7 linked regions of the Rattus norvegicus genome follow. The protein of the gene in region 5 purifies or fractionates together with the protein of the main gene of each other region. This does not show direct contact. Links are inferred from orthologs where the notes say so. Each region holds a gene or a part of one and is shown on either strand. Other genes may lie near its edges.

The links.
Region 1: the proteins of Cdc37 (region 5) and Rps6ka3 purify together in Homo sapiens (affinity purification with mass spectrometry; 3 studies listed by BioGRID and IntAct, with this or other methods). This does not show direct contact. The link is inferred for Rattus norvegicus from reciprocal best matches to the Homo sapiens genes CDC37 and RPS6KA3.
Region 2: the proteins of Cdc37 (region 5) and Ddx17 purify together in Homo sapiens (affinity purification with mass spectrometry; 3 studies listed by BioGRID and IntAct, with this or other methods). This does not show direct contact. The link is inferred for Rattus norvegicus from reciprocal best matches to the Homo sapiens genes CDC37 and DDX17.
Region 3: the proteins of Cdc37 (region 5) and Ppp5c purify together in Homo sapiens (affinity purification with mass spectrometry; 4 studies listed by BioGRID and IntAct, with this or other methods). This does not show direct contact. The link is inferred for Rattus norvegicus from reciprocal best matches to the Homo sapiens genes CDC37 and PPP5C.
Region 4: the proteins of Cdc37 (region 5) and Src purify together in Homo sapiens (affinity purification with mass spectrometry; 3 studies listed by BioGRID and IntAct, with this or other methods). This does not show direct contact. The link is inferred for Rattus norvegicus from reciprocal best matches to the Homo sapiens genes CDC37 and SRC.
Region 6: the proteins of Cdc37 (region 5) and Yes1 purify together in Homo sapiens (affinity purification with mass spectrometry; 3 studies listed by BioGRID and IntAct, counting the BioPlex papers as one, with this or other methods). This does not show direct contact. The link is inferred for Rattus norvegicus from reciprocal best matches to the Homo sapiens genes CDC37 and YES1.
Region 7: the proteins of Cdc37 (region 5) and Fer purify together in Homo sapiens (affinity purification with mass spectrometry; 3 studies listed by BioGRID and IntAct, with this or other methods). This does not show direct contact. The link is inferred for Rattus norvegicus from reciprocal best matches to the Homo sapiens genes CDC37 and FER.

What each region holds. Positions count from the first base shown.
Region 1 is NC_086039.1:39,348,185-39,351,684, reverse strand, and holds part of Rps6ka3 (ribosomal protein S6 kinase alpha-3), read left to right. Parts: intron 1-867; coding exon 868-957; intron 958-2,653; coding exon 2,654-2,812; intron 2,813-3,500. UniProt on the Homo sapiens protein: Serine/threonine-protein kinase that acts downstream of ERK (MAPK1/ERK2 and MAPK3/ERK1) signaling and mediates mitogenic and stress-induced activation of the transcription factors CREB1, ETV1/ER81 and NR4A1/NUR77, regulates translation through RPS6 and EIF4B phosphorylation, and mediates cellular proliferation, survival, and differentiation by modulating mTOR signaling and repressing pro-apoptotic function of BAD and DAPK1.
Region 2 is NC_086025.1:112,983,248-112,986,747, reverse strand, and holds part of Ddx17 (probable ATP-dependent RNA helicase DDX17), read left to right. Parts: intron 1-378; coding exon 379-529; intron 530-1,826; coding exon 1,827-1,926; intron 1,927-3,354; coding exon 3,355-3,488; intron 3,489-3,500. UniProt on the Homo sapiens protein: As an RNA helicase, unwinds RNA and alters RNA structures through ATP binding and hydrolysis.
Region 3 is NC_086019.1:86,829,006-86,832,505, reverse strand, and holds part of Ppp5c (serine/threonine-protein phosphatase 5), read left to right. Parts: intron 1-2,185; coding exon 2,186-2,333; intron 2,334-3,500. UniProt on the Homo sapiens protein: Serine/threonine-protein phosphatase that dephosphorylates a myriad of proteins involved in different signaling pathways including the kinases CSNK1E, ASK1/MAP3K5, PRKDC and RAF1, the nuclear receptors NR3C1, PPARG, ESR1 and ESR2, SMAD proteins and TAU/MAPT.
Region 4 is NC_086021.1:166,543,353-166,547,487, forward strand, and holds the start of Src (proto-oncogene tyrosine-protein kinase Src), read left to right. Parts: upstream 1-1,335; coding exon 1,336-1,585; intron 1,586-2,741; coding exon 2,742-2,841; intron 2,842-3,051; coding exon 3,052-3,069; intron 3,070-4,135. UniProt on the Homo sapiens protein: Non-receptor protein tyrosine kinase which is activated following engagement of many different classes of cellular receptors including immune response receptors, integrins and other adhesion receptors, receptor protein tyrosine kinases, G protein-coupled receptors as well as cytokine receptors.
Region 5 is NC_086026.1:27,956,931-27,960,430, reverse strand, and holds part of Cdc37 (hsp90 co-chaperone Cdc37), read left to right. Parts: intron 1-1,203; coding exon 1,204-1,482; intron 1,483-1,761; coding exon of another isoform or gene 1,762-1,908; coding exon 1,909-2,017; intron 2,018-2,109; coding exon 2,110-2,225; intron 2,226-2,305; coding exon 2,306-2,428; intron 2,429-3,500. UniProt on the Homo sapiens protein: Co-chaperone that binds to numerous kinases and promotes their interaction with the Hsp90 complex, resulting in stabilization and promotion of their activity. Inhibits HSP90AA1 ATPase activity.
Region 6 is NC_086027.1:120,645,671-120,649,659, forward strand, and holds the start of Yes1 (tyrosine-protein kinase Yes), read left to right. Parts: upstream 1-1,189; 5' UTR 1,190-1,404; exon of another isoform or gene 1,405-1,855; intron 1,856-3,989. UniProt on the Homo sapiens protein: Non-receptor protein tyrosine kinase that is involved in the regulation of cell growth and survival, apoptosis, cell-cell adhesion, cytoskeleton remodeling, and differentiation.
Region 7 is NC_086027.1:111,103,463-111,106,962, forward strand, and holds part of Fer (tyrosine-protein kinase Fer), read left to right. Parts: intron 1-540; coding exon 541-747; intron 748-3,500. UniProt on the Homo sapiens protein: Tyrosine-protein kinase that acts downstream of cell surface receptors for growth factors and plays a role in the regulation of the actin cytoskeleton, microtubule assembly, lamellipodia formation, cell adhesion, cell migration and chemotaxis.

The sequences.
Region 1 (3,500 bases), on a different chromosome or scaffold from region 5:
TTTAAAAGTATATATGTATGTATAGTACTTGAAAATATTAAAACATTTTAAAATGTTAAACAACTGACAAATTTTTAAAAGCTACATTATTATTTTAAAGAGCTTTATTCTAGTCAAGTAATTTTTTCAGGGTTGTTTTATAGAGAGCTTTCTACTTAGCTTCAAAAATAAGTTTGTTTACTTAATTTTTTAAAAATTTTTATTAGATATATTTCTTTACTTACATTTCAAATGTTAGTCCCCTTCCAGGTTCCCTGTCCATAAGCCTCCTCCCCCTCCCCCATATGCATATTCCCCCGATACATCCCCCTTATTGCCCTCCCCATATTCCCCTGCATGTTTACTTAATTTTTATAAGTAGCTTACATCCAATGTGATAGTCCATTAGAATACTTAATTAAAGAAGCCAATTCATACAGATGCTAATGCTGGTATTTTAGACACATTTATCTCAAAGTCATCTGTATTGATAGGGAATTAGAAATTAACTGAATTCTCAAATGTTTGAGAAATTAAAAGATGAAAAGAAATGATATGATACCTTGTTATTGGTAGGTTTTCCTGAGGCTTTTGAGTTTTTAGTAAGTCACAACTGTGCTAAAAAAAAAAAAAGAAAAAACTCACCTTGGAGTGACCTGGTAGGAATGTAACCTGGTAGGAATGTGTCACATGGTTAGCTTTACATAGCCTTGCCATCTGTATGGAGACTAGCTTTCTAATTAAATAATCTGGCTAAATAGCTAACTACAAATGACTGATAAGTGATTTGTATGCGCAATAGTTACATATGATGATACCTAAGGTCTATAACTATAAACATTTGAGGTTCATGTTCATAAAATTTTATGTTAAATATCTTCCTTTTAGATTATTGATAAAAGCAAGAGAGACCCAACAGAAGAAATTGAAATTCTTCTTCGTTACGGACAGCATCCAAACATCATTACCCTAAAAGATGTAAGTAGATTATTTAACAAACTCAAATTTGAGGTATTTTTCAATATTTAATATTCTGAATTAGACAGAGACTACTTTGGAATAATCATCCTAGAAAGTAAGTTAGAATGGATGAATGTGGAAATGATTATCTTAAGCAAAGTTTCCAAGACTTTGACCTAGACTTATTTTATTTTAGTGTGTGTGTGTGTGTGTGTGTGTGTGTGTGTGTGTATACAAATAAGACATATAGGTCATGAAACTAGAAAGGTGACCATGAAAGGTGATAAAGATATCTTAAGGGAAGTTTGAGAAGACAACATGAGATCATAAGAGTAGGAAGGAGGGAACCAGCAGGACAGACACAGATTAGAGGGGAATGTAGTGGAAGAAAAGGATTGATTTTAAAAAACAAAAGAGTATGTATGAAAATCCCATGATGAAACTCAATACTTTGTATACTAACATATATATGTACATACACACATACATGTATATGTATAATATACATATATGTGTGTAGATATATGTATAATATATCTACACACACACACACACACACACACATATATATATATATATATATGTATGTATGTATGTATGGTAGATTAAGAACAATATTGTAGGACCTAGGGAGACAGCTCAGTGGTTAAGAGCACTTGTTGCTCTTCCACAGGACCCAAGTCCATTTCCTAGAACCCAGTTCAGGTGGCTTACAACCAATCATCTGTGACTCTAGCTCCAGGGGATCTGATGATTCTGGTCACTACAGACACTAACACTCACATTTACATGCATGTGTGCACATGCACAGAGATAAAAATAAATCTTAAAAATTAATAAAAACAAAACCTTAAAATATGTAATTAATTTTCTAGTTTTGCTCTAAAACCTAGTTTAATATTATTGTTTATAGTATGTGAATTTGAACATAGAAAATGTTAATGTTAATCAAGATTGATTCACTTCTCTGAAGGCTCCCAAACTGTCTTCCCACCTGCCTTCCTCTACAGCAGTTCTCCATATTTCATTACACACGTTCTGGCCATGCTTTATTTGGAATGAAGACTTTTTAAAGCATGCATGCCTTATTTTCTTCAAGTGCTCTTTGAGTGTGTGGATCCTTAAGAGGGAATATCATGGGTTGGGGATTTAGCTCAGCGGTAGGCAAGCGCAAGGCCCTGGGTTCGGTCCCCAGCTCTGGAAAAAAAAAGAAAAAAAAAGAGGGAATATCATTTCCCTTCTTTGCCTGGTTGACTACCAAAGCTAAGATTTCCCTATGGGCTACTTCCTCCCAAGAAGCCTTTCTTGACCATTACCACCTCCAGGGCTCTCCAGATACCTATGTCTCCCATAGCTTTTATTATAACTGAGTATTAACAAAAAAATATCCACTTCCCAGGTAAGTAGTCAGCTCTTTCTTGCTGCTGGTGCTCACATAGGCTCAAAGTCTATTTAGCTAGGGTCAAAACGATTTTCTCAGACTAATTTTTCTTAGATAAAGAATGCCGACTTAGTCACATTAAATATGAAACTATTTACTATAAATGACTTTTTAACCAGAAATCCTGCACTGGTTTTTCACAAGTAAAGTTTTCTTGAATGTACAATTTTTATCTTTCTTTTAATATATTCACTCACCTTTAGTATGTTTAAGTAGTAATTTATGGACATACAAAGCTTCAAATATTTTTTGTTTTGATGTTAAATTTTATAGGTGTATGATGATGGAAAATACGTATACGTAGTAACAGAACTTATGAAAGGAGGTGAATTGCTGGATAAAATTCTTAGACAGAAGTTTTTCTCAGAGCGAGAGGCCAGTGCTGTCCTGTTTACTATAACCAAAACTGTTGAGTATCTTCACACACAAGGGGTAAGTGTTTTATATGCACATATTTGTATGTACATCCTTTTATGTTAATACCCAAACTAAAATTAGAAATTCAAAAATAATAGAAAAACCGTAATGAGCTTCATTATCCTACTGTTCTTCCTTTACACAAATCTTTTTCATTGAATCTGAGGTACTTTAAACTCTTAGCATGCTTATATTCAGCTGTTATGCTTTCCAGGAAAAAGTTAATGAGATCTGCAGATCTGTAAATCATAGCACTCTGTATCCTCGGAAACTAGGCCCACTTCTAATGAAGCAGAAAGGGAGAATGCTGATGTGTGTCTATGTGCACAAGTGAATGGTCTCCTTGTTTCCTCCTGCATATGTATTTTAGTACGTGGAAAAAACACTTATATTTTCAAAAGAATGCAGTCTGTGGAAGAAAGGGAGAAAGGAAAAAAATAAAAATGATGTAAGATGAAGGAGTATCAGGGGGAGTTTTGCTTATTTTTTAACACTTTTTAATTGAGAGAAATACATTTGCGGTATATATCAAAGATTTTTAAACACTTGCATCTCTGTTCTTGGATGTGTGTGCACATGCATATGGATCATAGAGGACAACATCAGTGTCATCCTCAGGAACACTATCTATCTTTCTTGGACCAGGGTCTCTCATTGGCCTGAACCTCACCAATTAATGCTAAATCCACAGCTGATGAGCCCC
Region 2 (3,500 bases), on a different chromosome or scaffold from region 5:
GGTTCTTTAGAGTAAACTAAACACTGGACCTAGTGTCCCAACTAGTTTGCCTTTATAGATTAGCAGAGAAGTTCTGGCCCCAGCATCAGTGGGGAAATTGGCCAAGAAGCTGTTGTAAATTTGAAGGACTTACGTGAAGACTGTTTTTCTCCCTGTCCACAGTTTAAACTGCTCTTGCAGTTTAAAAGAGTACCAGTTCCCTACAAGAGCAGAGACCATTCGTTTTTATTCTGTCTAGAATCTCTGGTGCCATTTAAAAACTACACTTAGTATCAAGTTGGTATAAGTAATTTTGTCAGTGTTTGTGGGTGGAAAACTGAATCAGTGCAAGAAGTCTGAGATGGGTACTAATGAATCTACATTTTCTGGTGTCTCTAGGTTTGGAGCAAGAGGTGGTAGTGGGCTTCCCCCGAAGAAGTTTGGTAATCCTGGGGAGCGGTTACGAAAAAAGAAGTGGGATTTGAGTGAACTCCCCAAGTTTGAGAAGAATTTTTATGTCGAACATCCAGAAGTAGCAAGACTGACTCCGGTAAGAAAAGGGGGGCATGAGTGAATGTTTAAATAGAGGTTAATAATCCAAGTGTTTATATCTGATTTTATATTATGTCATCTTTAATTTGTTTTTGTGTGTGGGTATTTTATTTGTTTTCTGAGACAGGATTTCTCTGTGTAGTCCTTTGATATCCTGGAACTCAGCCTGTAGACCAGGCTGGCCTCAAGCTCAGAGATCCACCTGGCTCTGCTTCCCAAGTGAGGTTAAAGGCATGTGCCCCATCAAGTTTCTTTTAATGTTTTTAAGTAGGTTGTTGTTGTTTAGACAGGATTTTGATTTGTGACCCCAGTAAATCTGGAACTTGCTATGTAGCCCAGGCTGGCCTCAGACTCAGATCCACCTGCATCTGCCTTCCAAGTGATACAAGGACTAAAGAATTATGTCACCATGCCTTGCCTTTGTGTTTTAGTTTTTATGTGATAAAATCATTCTATTTGTAGAATGGTCTCACTATGTAGTTCCAGGCTAGTCTTTAACTTGCTGTCCTGTTACTGTATCTCCTGGACTGCCAGGGTTCTAGGCATGGGAAACCACAGCCTGTGATCTTTTTTTCTTGGTCAAACTCTGAGCTTTGTCCATGAAGACAGGTAATCAACCACTGAGCTGATATTCTTTAATGGTGCTACGCTCAAACCTAGCACCATATGCATGTGACTTTAGTCCTCATACTCGGAAGGCAGATGCAGCTGGATCTCTGAGTCTGAGGCCAGCCTGGGCTACATAGCAAGTTCCAGGTTTACTGGAGTTGCAAATCAAAAGCTACCATTAAGCTACATACTTGTAAAATTAGTTTAACATTGTATATTTGTGTGCTTTTAACCTCCTAATGGTGTGTTCTACCCAGAAGATAGCTTATCCAGAAAAAATTATATAATGGAAAGAGAGTTTGGGCCCCAAGTTGTGTTTGTTGTAGACTGTCTCACTGTGTAACCCTGGCTGGTCTGGAACTTGTTTTGTAGATCAAGTTAGGTGTGAGCTTGAGTTGCTGTACAGAGAAGACAAAGCACCACTGGCCTGGCTAGGGACTACTCTTGAGGGTTTTCTCCTCCTAGTCATGTGCGTCACAGACTTGGATTCATGTAAAAAGCCTTAGCATATGTCATTGTGATAAGTTTCTAAATTGGGGCTGGGGATTTAGCTCAGTGGTAGAGCGCTTACCTAGGAAGTGCAAGGCCCTGGGTTTGGTCCCCAGCTCCGAAAAAAAAAAGAACAAAAAAAAAAAAGTTTCTAAATTGAGAGCTTTTATTATTGTCTTCATTTTTCTTCCCCACAGTATGAGGTTGATGAGCTACGTCGAAAGAAGGAGATTACAGTGAGAGGGGGAGATGTTTGTCCAAAACCGGTCTTTGCCTTCCATCATGCAAACTTTCCGCGTAAGTGGTTTTTAATCCTGCATTACAGAGGGTACTTAAAGGTTTTGAAAGTTTCAGGATTTTGTCTAGAAGATAAGTAGAAACCTTTTATATAGAAAAGATAGTGGCCAGGTGGTGGTAGCAGTGCACACCTTAGATCCCCAGCACTCGGGAGGCAGAGGCAGGCAGGTTTCTGAGTTCCAGGACAGCTAGGGCTACACAGAGTCTCAAAATAAAAGAAGGAAAAGAGTAATTTAGATGGGGCCAATCAGGTGGGTGAGAGAGTGTGGACTGTGTCTTAGTCAGGGTTTCTATTCCTGCACAAACATCATGACCAAGAAGCAAATTGGGGAGGAAAGGGTTTTTATTCAGCTTACATTTCCATTTGCTGTTCATCACCAAAGGAAGTCAGGATGGGAACTCAGGCAGGGCAGGAAGCAGGAGCTGATGCAGAGGCCACGCAGGGATGTTACTTACTGGCTTTTGCTCAGCTTGCTTTCTTATAGAACTCAGGACTACAAATCAGGGAGGGCACCACCCACAATGGGCTGGGTCCTCCCCCATTGATCACTAATTGAGAAAATACCTTACAGCTGGGTCTCATGAAGGCATTTCCACAACTGAGGCTCCTTTCTCTGTAATAACTCCAGCTTGTGTCAAATTGACACACAAAATCAGCCGGTACAGACTGCCTGGGTTCAAATTTGGAAACCAAATAAACATGAAAGGAGGACACAGATCCACGCTGGCACACACCCAAAATAAAATTTTAAAAGTTTTTATTTTTTAAGATAAAGCTTCACTATAGATCAGGCTGGCCTGGAGCTCAAAGATCTACCTGCCTCTGCATCCCGAGTGCTGGGATTAAAGTCATGTGCCAACGCACCTGGCTTTGAATAGTAATTTTCTGTGTTTCTATTTTTTTAGAACAGAGATTAGTTACTACTATTGATAAACATATTGTGCAAATTTTTGTGTTTTGAAAGATTATTTGTATGGAGTGAGGTTCCTGGGGAGTCCAGAAGAAGGCACCAGAATGTCTAAAGTTGGAATTACAGGCACTTGTTAGTCTTACCTGGATCCTAGAAACCAAACTTGGGTTCTCTGCAAGAACAGCAAGCACCCTTAACAGCTGAATCGTCTCCTCAGCCTCTGCTTTGTTTTTGGTGCTGAAACTTCCACTAGTGTTCTGCCCGTGTTTTATAATGGAGCAGAACGTCGCTTCTGCGATATTGTAGGGACTTTGGGAACAGTAAATGAGCCATGAGCTGCTGCCATTGGGTGTGTTAGGATAGTGTTGGGTAATGTTGGGCTGGCCAGAGATTGGATTTAAAGTTTTTGGAGAATAATAAAAGTCAGTCCTACCATCGGTAACTGCTACTTTTTAAGGACTTGATATGCATCCTTAGTTTTATTAGTAAAGGTGGTAATGTGTTTCCTTTCTTACAGAATATGTAATGGATGTGCTGATGGATCAGCACTTTACAGAACCAACTCCCATTCAGTGCCAGGGATTTCCTTTGGCTCTTAGCGGCAGGGATATGGTTGGCATTGCACAGACTGGCTCTGGAAAGACATTGGCGGTAGGTACTGAG
Region 3 (3,500 bases), on a different chromosome or scaffold from region 5:
AGAACTGCACAGAGGTTCCAGGGAGTAGGGGTCACTCACCATGGTGGCAGCTCCCTGCTCCATCTTTCTCCTTCGTTTGCAGTCTACCTGGAGACACATCCATCTCCTAGGAATTGCTGGCTCCCCATTCTTCCTTAAGGAGGCATTCTCTGCTGAGGACCCAGCTCTGTCCCTGGCCTTGGGCTTCCTGGGGGAGAGGAGCAGAAAGGAGCTTAGATTTAAAAGTGAAATGTGTGGGCAAAGGCAGCATGACCAAAAGGCCTCAGCTACAGGAGAGCTGGCATCCTGGGGACCTGTGAGAGGCAGTACCAGGCTACAGAAAAAGATAGGGCGGGCCTTGAGGGCCAGACCTGGAGCCATGTGGACTTTATCCTGGGAAGCAGAGAGCCTGGCCTCCCTGCCTCTCCCTGGGAAGGGCTCCAGGGGCTGCCTAAAGCTGGCAGCCCTCAAGCTTGATTCCACACCCACACCCCAGTAGAGCTGCCTGGCAGGTGGCCCAGCTAGGCTTGCCTAGCCTGCTGCTGGCCAAGCACCTGCAGGGAGTAGCGGTTGTCTTTGCCCAGGCTCTGACTCACTCAGTCACCTAGCTTTGGGGGGAGGGCACCATTCTGAGGACCAGCCCTAGGAGTCCTCTGTCTAACAGCATGGAAGCTGTGGGGAACCCAATCTAAGGGTGGCTGTGTAGGTCAGCAGATGAATGACAAAGGGGCAGGGGTGCAACACACATGTCATATAGGGAACTCACAACAGACCAAAATTCAGATACCACCAGAGTCAACATGGTAAAGCACTGGGTTTTATTGGGGTTACTTACAGGAGTATAGGTAAGGGGTTACGTGTATAGGAGCAGAAATGACTCAAAGTCAAGTCATATCACCAAAGCCCACTCTAACACGGGTGACAGCTCACAAAGTGGGAGCCTAGAGTACACTGCACAGCATACAGGCAGCTCAGCATGTTGGCGACTATCCTCTCCTAGTGACTCAGTTGGTCTAAACATCTTCCAGGCACCTCAACTAGTCTCTGTTTCTTCTAGGCAGCTGGTTTGGTCTTGTCTTCTCTGTAGCTTGGCTATTCTTTGCAGTCTTCATTGTTTTCTCTGGCAGGGAAAGGCTTAGTGAATCCAGTCAGTTTCAGGGCCTTCCTGAAAGCTATTTTGAGTTGTTCACCTCTCTGCTTAAATACCTTCCCTGTAGGATGAAATGTTTCAATCTCAGAGGAATCTGTTAAACAACAGAACATCAGGCAGGTCCAGTTACAGTTATGGTAACCAAGCAGAGGTGCAGGGAAGCCTGCTGCCCAGGGTCCCACTCCATAGCCCAGACTAGCCTGGGGTTCCCAGTCCTGCTTCCATCTCCCAAGTGCTGACATTGCAGACATGCACCACCAGGCTCAGCTCTGTCTTCTGAGCTCTTGGGATTCATTTGGGCTTGTGGGAAGCAGGCAGGGCTCCTTTAATTACTGTGGCCCACAGCTGACCATTGGATATTTTAAAAGTATTCCCTGATTTACTCTTCCAGCTCTCCAGGGCGACTGCTGCCAGTGTCCCTTCCTAGAGGAGAAACTGAGACCAGCTGAGATAATCCAGGCAGCCCCATCATCACTGGCTAAGCTGGGACTTGAGCTGTATCTTCTATCCCCATTACCAGAGGAAACAGGAAAATTAGAGCCCCAGTCTCCCAAAAAGCCCCAGGGAAAGCAAGCTGCTGACTGCCACCTACAGAGTCCCTCTTATATGCCAAGTCCTAAGTCCTTCCACAGACTCCACTTCACAGACCGGGACACTAAGGTGCAAAGAATCCAGGCTGTTCTAAGACTCTGGCCTCACCCACCAGCTGCACTGGGAACCTGAGACCTGTGTGTTCAGCTGGACACCTGGTTGGCTGTAACAGGGCCAGAGGTGTTTAGTAAGAGCACCTGCTTGAGCTGAAGCCCTGTCTCTAAAGCCACCCTGTGGGGCAGCTCTTCTATGCTTGGTGGGGATGTAAAAACTGAGTCGTGGGTGACACAGGCCCAGGGTTGCCCTGCTAGATGTGGTAGCCCCTGGGTGGTCTGACTCAGCCCAGGGGGGTATAGGCCAACGACATCACAGTGCCCCTGGTGGCTCCTCTGGGATAGGTGGCTGGCTGTCCAGAGAGTGACACCTGTTCCCTCCCTCCCTCCCTCCCTCCCTCTTCCCGTCCAGGTGGTGAAGGTGAAGCCTAATGACAAGGATGCCAAGATGAAGTACCAGGAGTGCAGCAAGATTGTGAAGCAGAAGGCCTTTGAGAGGGCCATTGCAGGCGACGAGCACAGACGCTCTGTCGTGGACTCTCTGGACATCGAAAGCATGAGTGAGTAGGCCTGACTCTATACCCCTACACGCTTATCCCTGCTACACTTGGTTGGTAAAGACAAGGTCTCAGAGGGCATCTGAGAATGTAGGTGTCACCTACAACTGCTGTCTTCCTTGGCCCTCTCCCTCCATGCCAGTCCTCTCTCTACATCCCAGTCCTCTCTCTACATCCCAGTCCTCCCCCTCCATAACAGTCCCCCTCCCCCCAATCTTAATCATAACAGGGTGACTTATGACTAAACTCAGGGTGTCAGGATTTTTCCTTTGTCACATTCTAACAGGTGCCTTGTCCTGGCCCATTCCCTTCTGGTTAGACTCAGGGTGCGTGGTGCCAAACGTGTTGGTTCTATTTCCCCACCATGTCTTATGGATGAGGTGGCCTTTTTATTCACTCTCGCGCTTGTTTTTGCCTGATGAGCTGTGGACATCAGCTGCCCCCGTCAGGTCCTGAAGAATTCGAGTATAATGTTTATAGTGCTATGCTTAAGACTTCCCCAGGTTCCAGTAATCTGTGACAACACTTCACAGTTAGAAGGGGAGAAGGGGAACTAAGATGGGGAAGAAGAAACAGTAGTGGGATCGCTGTGGCATCTTTCTCTCCTAACAAGAGCTGTGTCTACCCCATCTTCCAGATGGCAGGTGGATCCTTAGATTTTCTCAGGTGTGCAAGTCCAGGGTTTCTGTGTATCAGGACAGAGACATAAAGGATCTAGTCTAGGCTGGCCTCAAACTCATGATGGTCCTCCTGCCTCAGCTTTCCAAGTGCTGGGCTTACAGAGCTGAGTCACCGTGCCTGACATCTCCCCTCATTTAGCCAGCCAGTCCTTTGGATGCTTGTCCTCTTTCCTCTGTGGTGAACTGACTGAGGAGCATGTTTCCCTGCCACAGTGTCAGTGTTGAATCTTGTCACAACCCATTTGTAGTCCCCTGAGGCCACCACCATCACCCTGACTCACCAGCTCTTTAGGGAGTTCACCCACAAGACTATCCCATAGCTACCAGCAGTTAGGCTGTACCTGAGGAGACAATATCTAGACTTGGCTCCCTCTGCTGTGCTGCAGCTCCCATGTTCATTCATTTCCTGCAGCCTGGGCTTTCTGGCGTTTGTACCAGGGATCCCTAGAAACTACCAATGGTCATTCACCATCCCTGCTTTAGTGAGCTC
Region 4 (4,135 bases), on a different chromosome or scaffold from region 5:
ATGAAGCCTTCTGCTTGGTCCCTCTGTGTCGAGGTCTCAGGACCTCTCAAACTTTCTCTCCCTTTCATCTTTCATTTGGTTGTTTATTAAGCACCTGCTGTGTACCTCACTCTGTGCGCACCAGGAATTAAAAGGAGAGGGGGTTACATATAGCCAAGGCTGGTACAGTAGTCTGGGGGCTCCTGAAAGGATTTGGAGACCCCCTTCTAAAGGATATGACTTGAAACATTTTTGTTGCTTGCTCTTCCTTCCCTCCCTCCCTCCCTCCTTCCCTCCCTCCCTCCCTCCCTCTCTCCCTTCTTCCTTTCTTCTGTGCGCTTATGGGAAGGCATGTATGTGAACCACGAATGTGTGAAGGTCAGACGTCAGAGGACAGCTTGCAGGACCCTTTCTCCCATCTCTCTCTCCACCATGTGGGTTCTGGGGACTGAACTGAGGTCAGCAGGGTTTATGATAGGTGCCTTTACCTGCTGAGCCATCTCCCCAACCCAGGAAGTGACTTTGAGCTGAGAGTTGAAGTAAACTGATTGGGGAGATGTCTTAGTAAGGGTTATACTGCTGTGAACAGACACCACAACCAAAGCAACTCTCATAAGGACAACATTTAATCATTTAATCGGAGCCGGCTTACATATTCACAGGTTCAGTCCATTATCATCAAGGTGGGAACATGGCAGCATCTAGATAGGCATGGTGCAGGAGAAACTGAGAGTTCTACATCTTCATCTGAAGGCTGCTGGCGGAATACTGGCTTCCAGGCACCTAGGATGAGGGTCTTATAGCCCACACCCACAGTAACACACCTACTCCAACAGGGCCACACTTTCTAATAGTGCTGATCCCTGGGCCAAGCATATACAAACCATCACAGGAGGGGAAGTTGTCAGGGAATTTGCAAAGGTCTTGTGGCTGGAAGGCCTGGCCATCTCCTCTTCAAGCCACTATACTGCTGCTTCAATTAACACTTTTAACACCTTTCCCCCAGTGTTAGACAACTTGTCAGACATGTATTCATTCAGCAAAACTTAAATGAGTCCCTCCTATGTGCTGGGGACACAGATATGACTCGTGTCCCTGCCTATGAAAGACTAAAGCTGACTTTGGGTCCTGCTGGACCCAGGGCTTTGGACTGGTATATATGTCTTCTATCTGTAGCTGTGTCCTAAGGCGCCAACATCTCATTTTACAGGTGAAACTGTGAGACGAACTCTCCCAGGGTGGCAGGGTCCCCTTCTCAGGACCTTAGTCTGCCTATCTGTTTAGTGGGTAGGGTGTCTTGTCTGTTCCCAGATCTCTCCTCTACCTGGGGGATTTCTGTCGCCCCCAGCCAGGACCATGGGCAGCAACAAGAGCAAGCCCAAGGACGCCAGCCAGAGGCGCCGCAGCCTGGAGCCCGCGGAGAACGTGCATGGGGCAGGTGGCGCCTTCCCTGCCTCACAGACACCAAGCAAGCCTGCCTCCGCCGATGGCCACCGCGGGCCCAATGCCGCCTTTGTGCCCCCCGCGGCCGCCGAGCCCAAGCTCTTCGGAGGCTTCAACTCCTCGGACACTGTCACCTCCCCACAAAGGGCGGGGCCTCTGGCAGGTAGGCCCTCCTCCTTGCTGAGTGTCCCAGAGCTGTGGTGCACCCTTTCTGGGTTCTGGGGACTTGGTTTTCCAGAGGCTGCGAATGGAGAAGGGCTCGTAAACTGGAAAGCGGGGCTCCTGCCGCTTTGGGGATGCCAGATTCAGAGTATAACGGGTTCCGAAGGAGAGGGTTGTAGGGGACCCCGAGACCCGGAGGAGAAGGACCACCATGGACTAGCTGCCACCTCCCGCCCAGCCTTTGTTCCTGGCTCTGTTGTGTGGTGGCCCGAGTGCGCCCCTGCGCCCTCTGCTGGCGCTGCGTGGTGCGGCAACCCTGCCGCCCAGGGGCTGAGCAGGGTGACTCATGCTCCTGCATACATGGCTACACCCACACGAGCAAATCCCACGCTCTGACGGAGCCATACTCACGGCTGCACACCCGTGCGTGCAAATCCCGCACTCGGACTCAGCCACACGCACGGCTGCACACCCACTCGTTCAGATCCCACCCAGACTCAGCCATGCTATGTGCCCACATTGGGCATGTCCTCGCACTGAGTGGAGACGACAACAACAACAAAAGGCCCCCAGTGTTCCTAGAGACACACCTAGGCTAGACGCCTGCAGTGCGGAGCACACACAGACACAGGTGTGCATACAACCTCGCCCCCTCAGGTGGGCCTGTGCGCCTGCTTGCACGCAGAAAGCAGACATGGGCTAAGGTTCCCAGCCCCACATCCCACCACAGACCCTTGGACAGGCTGCCCACTCCCTGCCATGCAGCCACACACCCATTCGACCATTTGAGAGGCGTTTGTGGAGCCTTGGGCAACGGAGGGTGGGCTGCAGGAGTCCAAGGAGCAGCCGTGGGTGAGGGGAGAATCAGGAGAAGAGTCCTGAAGCTTTGCACCAAAGCCTTAAGTTGCCAGGCACACATATAGGCGGGGCTTAGGGCACCTATTGTGTGCTGGGTCTGAGTGCAGAGCAAGGGAACCTGTTCTCTGGGGCTTCTGCTTGTGTCAGTAGACATATCAGATAAGGAGCACCTAGTCTGCAGCCCGGCAGGGAGGCACAGGCTACTTAGCTCCCTCTCAGGGACAGGCTGGTGAGTGAGAAAGGCAGCCTCCCACGCCCACCCCCTGCAGGGTTCTGACACCTCCCATCCCACTCTGCAGGTGGGGTGACTACCTTTGTGGCCCTCTATGACTATGAGTCACGGACAGAGACTGACCTGTCCTTCAAGAAAGGGGAGCGGCTGCAGATTGTCAATAACACGTGAGTGGATGGACGGGGACTGCACTGGGAGCGTGGGTCCATCTATACCCAGAGCTGCCGGCAGAGGGCGGTGCAGAGCCTACAGGGCTGCTTCTGCAGTTGGTGGGTGGTGGTCCTCCCTAGACCCCGACTAGTCTCCTCCCTTGTCCTGGGTCCTGTCTTCGCACCTCAGCCTCTCCTTCTCTCTGCTTCTCTCTCGCTGGCCCTTAGGAGGAAGGTGGATGTCAGGTGTGTACCGAGGCCAGGTAGAGGGGGATGCTTCGCTGAGGCTGGGGACTGCTCTCTGCATGTGCTTCCTCCACTACCCCTGTGTGTCTCCAGCTCTCTCCCTGTCCTTTTAGCTTATCCTGCATCCCACCTGTTTGATCCGACCCTCCATTTTCTCCCCACACCTTCCCGTTAGCTCTCTTCCTCCCTCTTCTGGTGTGTGATTCCATGACTGGGTGCCAGCTACTTGCAGGACCCAGTGTATTCTGGAGGCCAGGGAGGGAGGCAGTGTGGTGGGGAATGGGTTACCCCAGACTAGGCCAGGGGTGGGTAGGAGCAGTCTGGGGTCCCTGCAAGATGACCCTGAGAGAGGGGGCTGTCTCTATCGGACTGCCCATCCAAGGAAGGACAGTAAGCTACTGCAGGTAAGGGTGGGCAGTCTCCCTGGGAGGGGGGCAGCTGATGGTCTGTGCTGGGCTGAGGACCTCTCCCTGGAGCAGGTAAGGCTTGGGGACTTTGATCTGAGCTGTTCTGGAGGGTAGAGAGGATCCGTCAGAGAGTGCTCCCAAGTCCTGGCTAAAGAGGTGGGTTTTCCATTTCCCTATGCGTGTCTCGGTGCTCATACCTCCTGATCCTTGTGCATGCTACTCCGTTTGCCTGAAATATTTCTTCTCCTGTATCCACCTGGTGAACTCCTATTCACCCCTCAAGATCCAGGGTAGGGCTGCCCTCCCTGCAAGCAGGTGCCATGTGCTGTTCTGGCCACTCTCATTCATACCCCTCCATCTTGTTATCACTGGTCTTGGGGGCAGCAGTGACGGGGGAGGGGCTGCTCTAGTTTGTGAACGAGGAAACTGAGGCTCAGAGTCATGAAGGCCCTTGTCAGAGGTCACGTGACTGCCAAGTAGTAAGCCCAGAATGGAGCCTGCTCTCCTTTCTCTGGACTGGCACCTGGGGAGGGGCCTCCTCAGTACCTCCTTCAGTGGCCAGCGCTCCTTCCATCCTCATGGGAAGCCCCTGAGTCCCCATGTCCCCAGCTGTTGATAGAATTGGTGGCCAGGAGGAGAAGCGGTGTGACCCTGGTGCT
Region 5 (3,500 bases):
GATTTTATTTCAAGACAGGTTTCGCTGAGTTGCCTAGGCTGGCTTGGTACAGACTCAGTCTTCCTGCCTCAGCCTCCCAGAATGCTTGGTTACCGGGGTGCTCCACCGTGACCACTTAGGGCTTTCTTTGGTTTTGCTTGTAGTGCTGGCGAAGCAACCCAAGATGTTTCAGGATGGTAAGCAGGGGCCAGCAAGATGGCTTAGTGGGTAAAGGCACTTGCCACCAAGCCTGACAACCTAAGTTCAATCCCTAGTGCACACGCGGTGGAACTGCTGCCCATGGTCCTCTGACCTTCGCATGTGGCTGGGTTTTATTGTTGTGCGTTTGTTTCCAAAATTAAAGTGAACAAGGTGTCTGTTGCTTAGTTGCTCCCATCACACAGTCAGTTACTGTTGCCCTATCTTGGACCTGCACTTGAGAGGCAGAAGGATCAGGAGTTCAGGTTCCTTCTCTGCTACATAGAGACAGTTTCCTTAGTTAAATCTAGTCTTAAAAATACAGAAACGTGGGGACTGGAGACATGGCTCAGTGGTTAAGAGCACTGACTGCTCTTCCAGAGGTCCTGAGTTCAATTCCCAGCACCCACATGGTGGCTCACAACCATCTGAAATGGGATCTGACATACATAAAATAAATAAATCATTTTAAAAAAAATACAGAAACGTGGCAGCAGAGCACCAGCAGGGAGGCAGCACATGGCAGTTTGTACTGCAGTAAGGACCATGGGTGTAACCTGACCCAGGTGTGTCTGGTCCCTGTAGTAGCAGGGTAGCAGTTTGGAGGCCAGGGGTTGGACATCAGTACATGCATCTCCTGGGGTCAAGTCCAGTACAGAGATTGAAGCCTGGGGCCATTGCTGGGCCAATACGAAGGAACAAAGTTGTTCTTCCCCTCCCCCAACCCAAAGTTTCTCTGTCATCCCTTTTCCTAGAACTCACATTGTAAATCAGGCTGGCCTCGAACTCGAGGCCAACTCTGCCTCCCAAGTGCTGGGACTAAGGGTGAGCACCACCATGCCCAGCTCCTAAAGTCTTTCTTTTTTTTTTTTTTTTCTCCTTTTTCTTCTTTTTTCTTTTTTTCGGAGCTGGGGACTGAACCCAGGGCCTTGCGCTTGCTAGGCAAGCGCTCTACCCCTGAGCTAAACCCCCAACCCCTCCTAAAGTCTTTCTAAGTGACCGGCTGCTAACTGTCCCTGCCTGCAGGCCCGGGTGGAACGCATGGAACAGTTTCAGAAGGAGAAAGAAGAACTGGACCGGGGCTGCCGGGAATGCAAGCGCAAGGTAGCCGAGTGCCAGCGCAAGCTGAAGGAACTGGAAGTGGCTGAGGGTGGTGGCCAGGTGGAGCTTGAGCGGCTTCGAGCGGAGGCACAGCAGCTGCGCAAGGAGGAGCGAAGCTGGGAGCAGAAGCTGGAGGACATGCGCAAAAAGGAGAAGAACATGCCCTGGAATGTGGACACACTCAGCAAAGATGGCTTCAGCAAGGTGGGACACCGGCAAGAGCGCTATGGAGTACGGTCAGACTGACTGGGGTAGTTGGGTGGTGGAGGCTAGACATGCCTGTAAAGACCCTAGGTCCACCCCTGTCTCCCCATCCCAGTAAACCAGGAAAAGAATTCTGACATTGAGAGCCAGGCAAAGCATGGGGAGGGGTGTGAGGGCAGGGGATGGACGGACGGTCAGACAGACAGTCAGACAATTTGAGCTTGGGATTGGCTAGTGGAGGCCAACGAAGCCCATCCGTACCCTCTGATCTGCCCGAAGGCCCGCGGCCATGCCTCCGCCACCTTGATGCACTTAGCGACGCCACCGCCTCCGATGTGGACAGGATGGGCGCGGCGGCCACGGCCCCCAAACCCCAGGCGCACCCCTGCCTTGCCCCAGCCCACTTGCCCTCTCGCCCTGTCACAGAGCATGGTCAATACCAAGCCTGAGAAGGCAGAGGAAGACTCAGAGGAGGCAAGGGAGCAGAAACACAAGACCTTCGTTGAAAAATACGAGAAACAGATCAAACATTTCGGTAAGCTGCACAAAGGCTCCATTAGGAGTCAAGGCCAGGGAAGGCTTCCAACAGCCTCTGCAACGTCTTCTTCCCAACATCCTTCCCTGCAGGCATGCTCCACCGCTGGGATGACAGCCAGAAGTACCTGTCAGACAATGTCCACCTGGTGTGCGAGGAGACAGCCAACTACCTGGTTATCTGGTGCATTGACCTGGAAGTCGAGGAGGTAAGTACAGCCTTGCCCGGCTGCGCAGACTCCCCGACCCTGGCGCCGGCTGACCGACACCCTGCCTCTCTGTCCTGCAGAAGTGTGCCCTGATGGAGCAGGTGGCTCACCAGACCATGGTCATGCAGTTCATCCTGGAGTTGGCCAAGAGTCTGAAGGTCGACCCCCGGGCCTGCTTCCGGCAGTTTTTCACCAAGATCAAGGTAATGATTCCTGTACCACCAGGTCTACAGTGTGTGTGACTAGGGACCCGAGGTCAGTCTTTATGAGCAGCACTTGAGGTGGTCTGGGGATAACAGTGGCCAAATGTAGCCATATTTGTTTTTTCTCAAATCTATAAGAATTGTATGGATCTATGATGTGTGTATATGTGTGGTATATATATATGTGGACGTATGTCTCTTACATATATGTGTATGTATGTATGATGTATATGTGGACCCATATGATCAGGGGACAGCATTGTGTGGTTGATTCTCTTTACCTTTATGTGGGTTCCTGTGCTCAGACAAGCTGTTAGGCTTACAAGCAAAGCACTTTCACCCACTGAACCACCTTGCTGACCCTATTTGAGGATTTCTATTTATTTACTTTTAATATTTAAGTAATTTTATTATATATTATAATGTAAATTATTGCAAAACATTATATAATTCAATGTTTAATTTTTTTTGGGTTCTTTTTTTTCGGAGCTGGGGACCAAACTCAGGGCCTTGCGCTTCCTAGGCAAGCGCTCTACCACTGAGCTAAATCCCCAACCCCTCAATGTTTAATTTTTTAATTTTTTAGCCTCATTTTTTTTTCTTTTTCTTTTTTCGGAGATGGGGACCGAACCCAGGGCCTTGCGCCTGCTAGGCAAGCGCTCTACCACTGAGCTAAATCCCCAACCTTTTTTTTTTTTTTTTTTAATAGATAAATATTTAATTTTTGGTTGCTGTGTGTGTGCCTGAGTGAGTTTATTTGCACCATGTACATGCAAGTATCTTCAGAGGCTAGAAGAGGGTGTTAGATCCCTGGAGCTGGAGTTACTGGTGTTTGCAAGCTGTCATGTGGATAATGGGTACCGAACTTGGTTCCTCTGAAGGAATGGGGATGCTGAGAGCAGGGCAGTGTAGAACAGTTGAGAACTGGGGTGTCTCTAAGACCTTGTTGGAGTACACTGAAGATGTGGTACCTGCCAGTGCTTGTGAGCTGAGCCAGGAGACTGGCCATTAGCAGATGGGCCCACAAGCTTGTAGAATGGGCACTGAATACAGGAGACAAAGGCCAAGCCTT
Region 6 (3,989 bases), on a different chromosome or scaffold from region 5:
GTTTATATATAAAACGTAATGTCTCAGTCAATGGCAAAATAAATCACCATTCTACATCACACGTAGGTGCTCATGTGGATTCCCATCCCTTTCTTTGAAGAAACTTTTTAAAACTGTGTGCATTTAAGTTCCTAGAATACCAGAATACTGACAGAGTCGATGGTGCTATTTAGAATATGCCAAAGATGATGCTGAACTTCGCTGAAAACCACAAAGGAAACCAAGAGTCCCACATTAATACTTCGAATAACCCCATCAAAGAGGAAATACAAAAGGGAAATTAAGAGTGTGATAAGGCAGATGTGCCTTTAGCAGAAATACATCTAGATTTAGTCTCTTGACCTTGACTTTCATCTTTACCCCAGTTCCTCCTGAACCCTTACTTTTTCTACAAGGCAAGTAGAAAAAGATGCAAGGCCTCCTGAGGAAGAGAAAACCCTTTCATTGTGACTTCTTCACTTTGGGGGGCCCTAACCTCAGTTTCCATTGCCCTCAAGCAGAGTCACAGTGCCTGTTCGGGTTCCCTATTACTAGGATCAAATAAAATGCTGTCCCACGCTAAGTGAAAGCCACCATTCCTGGGAGAGTTGCCAACACAACTCAGCTTCGGTTCCACTCCCGGCAAGGCTGGTTCGACCTACAGTCAACAGGAAGCTTCTGGGGCAGGGACAGGATCCCAGCTAAGGAAAGGCCAAACGAGAACGTTTTTGGACCGCGACCAAGGTGTCAGCACCGCCCCGGTGGCTCTCGCGGTTGGACTGAGATTTTACTATTAGTGACAAAGGGTGCGGAGACACAACGTTGAGAAACGAACAGTCAACCTCTCTCCAAAGAGCCCCAACCCCGACCACCCTCCCAAAACAAAGCCCCACACTCTTCGGTGTTTCCGTGAGCCAGGCGGAGCCCTGCTTCGCTCGTAGAGGTAGTCCGCGCGCGGGCAGGCAGGGAACCACAGACTGCTTTCTCCTCACGCCCCCTCAGGAGCCCGCCCAGCCCCCGCCGCCATGTTGGGCCGGCAGGCGTGACACTGACAGGCCTCCCAGCCGCCCGCGGACCCCGCGCAGAGCTCCCGCGCCGGAAGGCGCTCCAAGCAAGCAGCAGGGCGCGAGTTCCGGTGAGCGGGCGCGCGCAGGTAGCCGCAACCCCTGCCCGGCGCGCGGCCGCCCCAGTCGGGAGCGGAGGGGCGGGGCCGGCGGCGAGAGGAGGAGAGAGGGAGGCCGTGGGGTGCGGGCGCCCGGGAATTCCCTCCTCCTCAAGTAACGCGTCCCGGGCCGGCTGTGCGGCCGTCGCTGCCTCCCGGCGCCCCGCAAGCAGGAGGTGGAGAAGGGAGAGGGCCCCGCGGGCGTCCGCCTCGGCCGGCCGCCTTCTCCCCGAGGCGACCCGTGCGAGTGCGGCCGGACCCAGGTAAGCTCGCGGCGTGGCCTCGCAACGTAGGCGACTGACCCTGGCCGGGCTGCTCTAGGCCTCGGCATCCGCCCTCCTGCTCCCCGGCTTTTCGAGGCGCCGCCGCTCCCGGCTCTGTCCGCCTGCCGGGCGGGGAGTCTGGAAGTTGAGGAGAAACTTCTCCCCTCCCCCGGTCCGGCCGGCGGGCGGGCGTGTCTCCTGGGCTCACTACCTGCTTGCCCAGTGCCTCGGTCCCCGCCCTTGTCCAGTACTTCCCGATCCTGCGGGAGTCCGTGCAGTGATCCAGCCTCTGTGGTGCCGCCGCTGCACCCTGAGTCCTGAAGGGCGTGGAGTCACTCGCGACCCTGAGGTAGGGGAGCGGCCCCTTATCGTCCTAGCGGCTGGAGGTCTGTGTCGCCGGACGCCCGCAGCAACTGTCCGGAGCGAGGAGTGGAACGCGGGAGGCGAGAGAGTGAGCGGCGAGTTGTGCTTGGTTTGATTGAAAACCACGACGTGTTTATAAAGTTTTCCTTTGTTTGGTTTTGAGGGTGTTGGGACATGTTACAATCAGTGGCCACTTTTAAGGTGTCAAGCCACTCCGCCTTCCCTTGGGTTCGGCTCTCTGTCCTCCTCTGTTAACGAAAATTTTGTTTGAGCGTTTTTTGCTTCCTGATAATTGCTTCCAGCTTTTGCTCTATTGGGCTTGGGAAAGAGTTGTTTTAAGAAAGTGGGAATATCGTTTCTAGCATAGGGATTGCTGTAGTGAATGGGGGTACAGCGTAGTTTTGATGTGGTTATTCTTTGCATAAGTGATTGAAACAGCAGTGGAATGACTAATGACAGTTATCGAAATAAATAAAGGAAAAGTCTGCAGTTGAAACATAACGTAGTACCTCTCTCGTGTGTTCCACAGCTGTGTTTTTTACATTAGTGATTTCACAGGATATTGTGGTTTAGTATATTCGTGCATTATGTAAAATTACTATACTAAAAGTATCTTGACAATTGAAAGTGTTTAAACATCCTGTGTTTAAATTTAATCTAAATTTAAATTACATACTAATGAAAATGTCACTAAGTGTGCATATGTGACTCCATTTAAGGCTGAATGCATGCTACCTCTATTAACCAGCACAATGGTTGTGGACTGGAAACATTTTGAGTGGGAGGATAGGGGATGTTAAATTAAAAGCCAAAGTTCTTAAATGCATCACGTATGAGAGAGAACACAACTGTAGGAAAGTTGTTCCTCAGGAATTTTTTTCTCTTCTTCTTGCTATGTCAGCATTTAGCTATATCTTATTTTTGAATACCAGCAAAACCTCAGTGAAAATGTAAATGCTGGTTGACATTTCAGTGGGTCCTAAATTTGGTGAGGGAGAGAGAGTTTGCTTTTGATTGAAACTTAAATACAAGACTATTTATATTCCATGTTTCTAGGATAAAAGATAGAACTCTTAAAATGTGTACTTTACCATAAAACTATGGTAATGTTATCATACCTTTAATTTTGTAGCTAGGTTTTGCTGACTTCACAAACCACAAAATTGACTCCTTTCTGTTCAACTGAAAGTGAAATTACAGCCTTGACCTGTCTTCTTGGGATAGGTGTGAAATTTGTCTTATGACCAAAGAATAATATTAATATATAGTCAGACATTGTTTTTAGTTCAGGAAATTCTCAAAAAAGCACTGTCTCTGCAAATAAAATTTTATTTCATTGCATATGTAAATAAAAGAATATGCTAAAAGAGCAGGGACCCAGTACAAGGGAAATACTACTAATCCCTGTTTATTTGAAGTTCAAATTTGCATAATTCTAACAGTAAATAGCATTTACTGTGGGTAATTTTTTAAAAAATGTATTTAGCTTCCAATTCAGTGAGGCACTTCAATGTGGGCATCATTTATTAGTCTTAGTACTATTGTTTAGGAAAGAAACTGTACTAATTTTTTTTTTTTGAAGCACAGTGCTAGGCTCTGATGTCTAGGAATGCAAATTTAAATGATCAAATTATTATTGTAAAAAAAAACCTACAAGGAAGTGATTTGCATAAAAACAAAGATAGGGAGGGAAGGAAGCAGCTGTGATAAGGCCAGACTTCTACAGCAGTAGGAAAGTTCTCTGTCCTTGGGTCTTGGAGGAGCTGGTCTTAATTTATCAAGTCATACATTTGTATGTTTGTCTCTTAACCTGGGTTTTATATTTTACATAAAAATACTTTTAAGAAGCCTAAATATAATGTAATGTAAAATGTGCTTAGGTTAAATTAGTAATTTAATTTTTAGGATAATCTGGTTTCCTGTCACAACCTTTAGTCATTGATGTCTGGCTTAAGGGCTCTTCTTTGCTAACAGGTTTAGATTTCCTGCATCATAAGTGTCATATACTAGTTCGTGTGTGTAATTTACTCGAAAATACCATACACTTCCAAATGTACAGTAATGAGAGAATTTTTTAAGAAATGTTTCTTATTGAGTTCTTGATTTTTATTGTTATTTTAATGTTTTGAGAGAAAATGTTGTGTGTTATTAATTTTAAATATAAGTACTAAATAGTAAGTAACATGTTTATTGAATAAATAGGTGTTGTTCTTTTATCAGGT
Region 7 (3,500 bases), on a different chromosome or scaffold from region 5:
GGGCTTTATCTGCCATTGCTTTGCAAAGCCATGAGTGGCCATGTGGCAGAGTAATGGCTAACAGAGGTACAGTAGAGGAGTGGGCATGAGGAGCTCAGTGAGGTGGCTTCGGGCTGAGCCCGAGACCCTTTCCTACCTGTTGTTATGCATGGAGCACAGTCTGTTAATCAAGTCAATGCAAACCATGTTCAGTGTGTTTGTTAGAAATTACTTGGAAATATTCTTTCATAATTTTTCTGATTGGTCAATATTATTAAATAAATTTATTTTATGATAATGGGAATAAGATTAGGACTGTTGACCTGAAATGCTAATGTCCCTGTGCATGATAGAAAGAAAGTATCAAAGGATAGTTACTTGTGCTAAACTTCAGTCCTCATACTCCAGGAAACATTTGTTAAAAATAATTATGAAAATGTCAGAATTATCATTTAATTTTTAATTGACTGATAAAGGCAGAACATATATACAAAGTACTTGCAAAGAATTTTACTAGGAAAAATATGTTTTTTTATAACTTTTGTTTAAATATTTGTTTAGCAGCTCTCTGACGTGATCTCTGTGGGTGAGAAGCCCCTGGCGGAGCATGACTGGTACCACGGTGCCATCCCCAGGATAGAGGCACAAGAACTGCTGAAGCAGCAGGGAGACTTCCTGGTGCGAGAGAGCCATGGGAAACCTGGTGAATATGTCCTTTCTGTATATTCTGACGGACAAAGGAGGCACTTTATCATACAGTTTGTTGATGTACGTGTCCAGTCTAGTTCATACGTATACATTGACGTAATCCATTGTGGTAGACTTGAAATATACTGGTGGATGGCTTATGAGAATTGCTTTCCACACTCTTAAGTTTAACATTAACTCTGCAGTAACTCCATAGACATAATGCTCTGAAACTGACTGAAATATTGATCTTACTGAGAAAATATCATTAAAAAGTTAATAAAGTTAAATTTAAATGGAAATCTCTAAAACGTTGAATTTGAGTACTAAAGTATTTTAAGTTAAAAACAAAAGTAAGGGAAATACCCTGTATTTTCTTTCCAGTAGTAAAATTTAAGGTTATGAGCTGTGTACCTCTTTAACTAGTTTCAAACTATAATCTATTTTGTTGAGTAGCATTAAGGAAAGTCTTCAATTCAAGAGGACTTAATTTATTTATGATTTACTATTACTGTTTTTTCTATTTTTCTTTAATATCTGTTGACTTTAATAAGCAGTAAATAGAAAATGATAAATATAAACAGTATATTCACATTATTTATTCCAAAGCTAATACTTTTGGAAGTTTTAAAAATTTAAGTTACTTAATGACTTACTTATGATCATTGTGTGCGTTTGTGATGTGTGGGGACAGGGCAGTGCTGCTTTTCACATGCGTGCAGGTCACATGACAGCTCACCAGAGTCACTTCTCTCTAACTCTTTGGCTCTGGGGAGTCAGACCCAGTCTGCCAGGCTTTTGCAGCAAGCAGTAAGCATACTCACCCACTGAGCCCTCTCATAGGCCCCACCCACTGAGCCCTCTCATAGGCCCCACCCACTGAGCCCTCTCATAGGCCCCACCCACTGAGCCCTCTCATAGGCCCCACCCACTGAGCCCTCTCATAGGCCCCACCCACTGAGCCCTCTCATAGGCCCCACCCACTGAGCCCTCTCATAGGCCCCACCCACTGAGCCCTCTCATAGGCCCCACCCACTGAGCCCTCTCATAGGCCCCACCCACTGAGCCCTCTCATAGGCCCCACCCACTGAGCCCTCTCATAGGCCCCACCCACTGAGCCCTCTCATAGGCCCCACCCACTGAGCCCTCTCATAGGCCCCACCCACTGAGCCCTCTCATAGGCCCCACCCACTGAGCCCACTCATAGGCCCCACCCACTGAGCCCTCTCATAGGCCCCACCCACTGAGCCATCTCATAGGCCCCACCCACTGAGCCTTCTCATAGGCCCCACCCACTGAGCACTCTCATAGGCCTCAGCATTGCCAAGCCTCTCCATAGTACACTGGCATTATTAGGCACTAAATAGATGAATAGTAATTTAGACATTTTCCCCTTTACTTACTGAGAAATTTATAGTGTCAGTGCTTTTGGCAAATGAATTGTTGCCTGCATTTGTTATTTTTCAGTCCATTATTTGAAATTGCTCACATCTGAAAAATGCCTGTCCACAGCTTTAGTTTATGTCAAGGCACAAGGCTAATACTAGGTACCTACAGAAAGATTAACCACAACCACAATAAGCAAAGCCTATAGGATTTTAGTGACTTAGAAACTTGTATACATACAAGTGTGAACTTAGGGTTGACTGATTGAGCCATGAAACTTAGATTAATGGGCAGTGATGAATTAAAGATAAAAGCATATTTTAAAATAAAATTTTGGTGGAAATCTTTATATAATGGCATTGTTTATTCTCTTGTTCATTCATTCATTCATTCATTCAGAATATGCTTACTGAGTATTATGTTAGAACTAAACATATGAGCCAGCAACAACACAGAAGTAATATTTGATATGTGAAATTAGCAGTTAGTTGAATATATTAAAAAGGTACTAATAAATCATAAAGGAAGGACGGAACGTAACAATAGCAGAATCCAACACTGAACATTCATCCCTGACTAGATCAGAATCTAACCAGAAAAGCTAGCAGAGGAGCAGCGGAGTTGACCCATATCCTGGACACATGGGGTGGAGACGTTATAGAGCATTCGTCCAGCGACCACCGACTAAGCCATCCACTCAACTGCCGTGCACTGAGCTTTTTCCAGGACAGATTATGTCACAAAACAGTGTCTTTTAAGAATTAAACAACAACAACAACAACAACAAGAAAGATGAAGGCCCCTTTCCGATCTCTGTGAAGCTGGAGCCCAACACAGGAAGACCCTGGAAGCAGTGTTAATGCATGGGAATGGAACATTTCCCGAGGAAACTGCCACTAAAGGCAGCAGATGAGAAATGTAAGATAAGCGAGAATGGACGTACATTACACTGAATCTTACAGAACTCGGCAGATGTTCCCATTCTCATAGTGAGAGCCTTTCACACACACACACACACACACACACACACACACACACGTTTGTGTATGCATAAACATATAAATATAGCCCGCTAAGACTTTTTTGTTTATGTGCATATAGTTTGGGAGCCACTTGTACTGGACAGCCATTTGCAGGGCTCCTCCATGGGAAGAGCCATTATCCATTGCCTGTAGTGTCTTGTCCAGGGGTGTGACCCCATTAACCCCCCCACCCCCGTTCATAGCAGCAGGACTTCAGTAGCTTTTTCTTAAAAGAAGAAATGTAAACAGTAACAGACATTTATGAAAGACGTTCAACACCTCTGATGATATCAGTTAGACCACTGGGAACACATCTGCTTTTCAGAAGACAGACTTGAGAGCTGAAGCTGGGAGGAAGTGGAGAAAGAAGCATACATTTTGTTGGGAATGTCAACTAGCGTGGTCATTGTGGAGATCAGTGCGAGG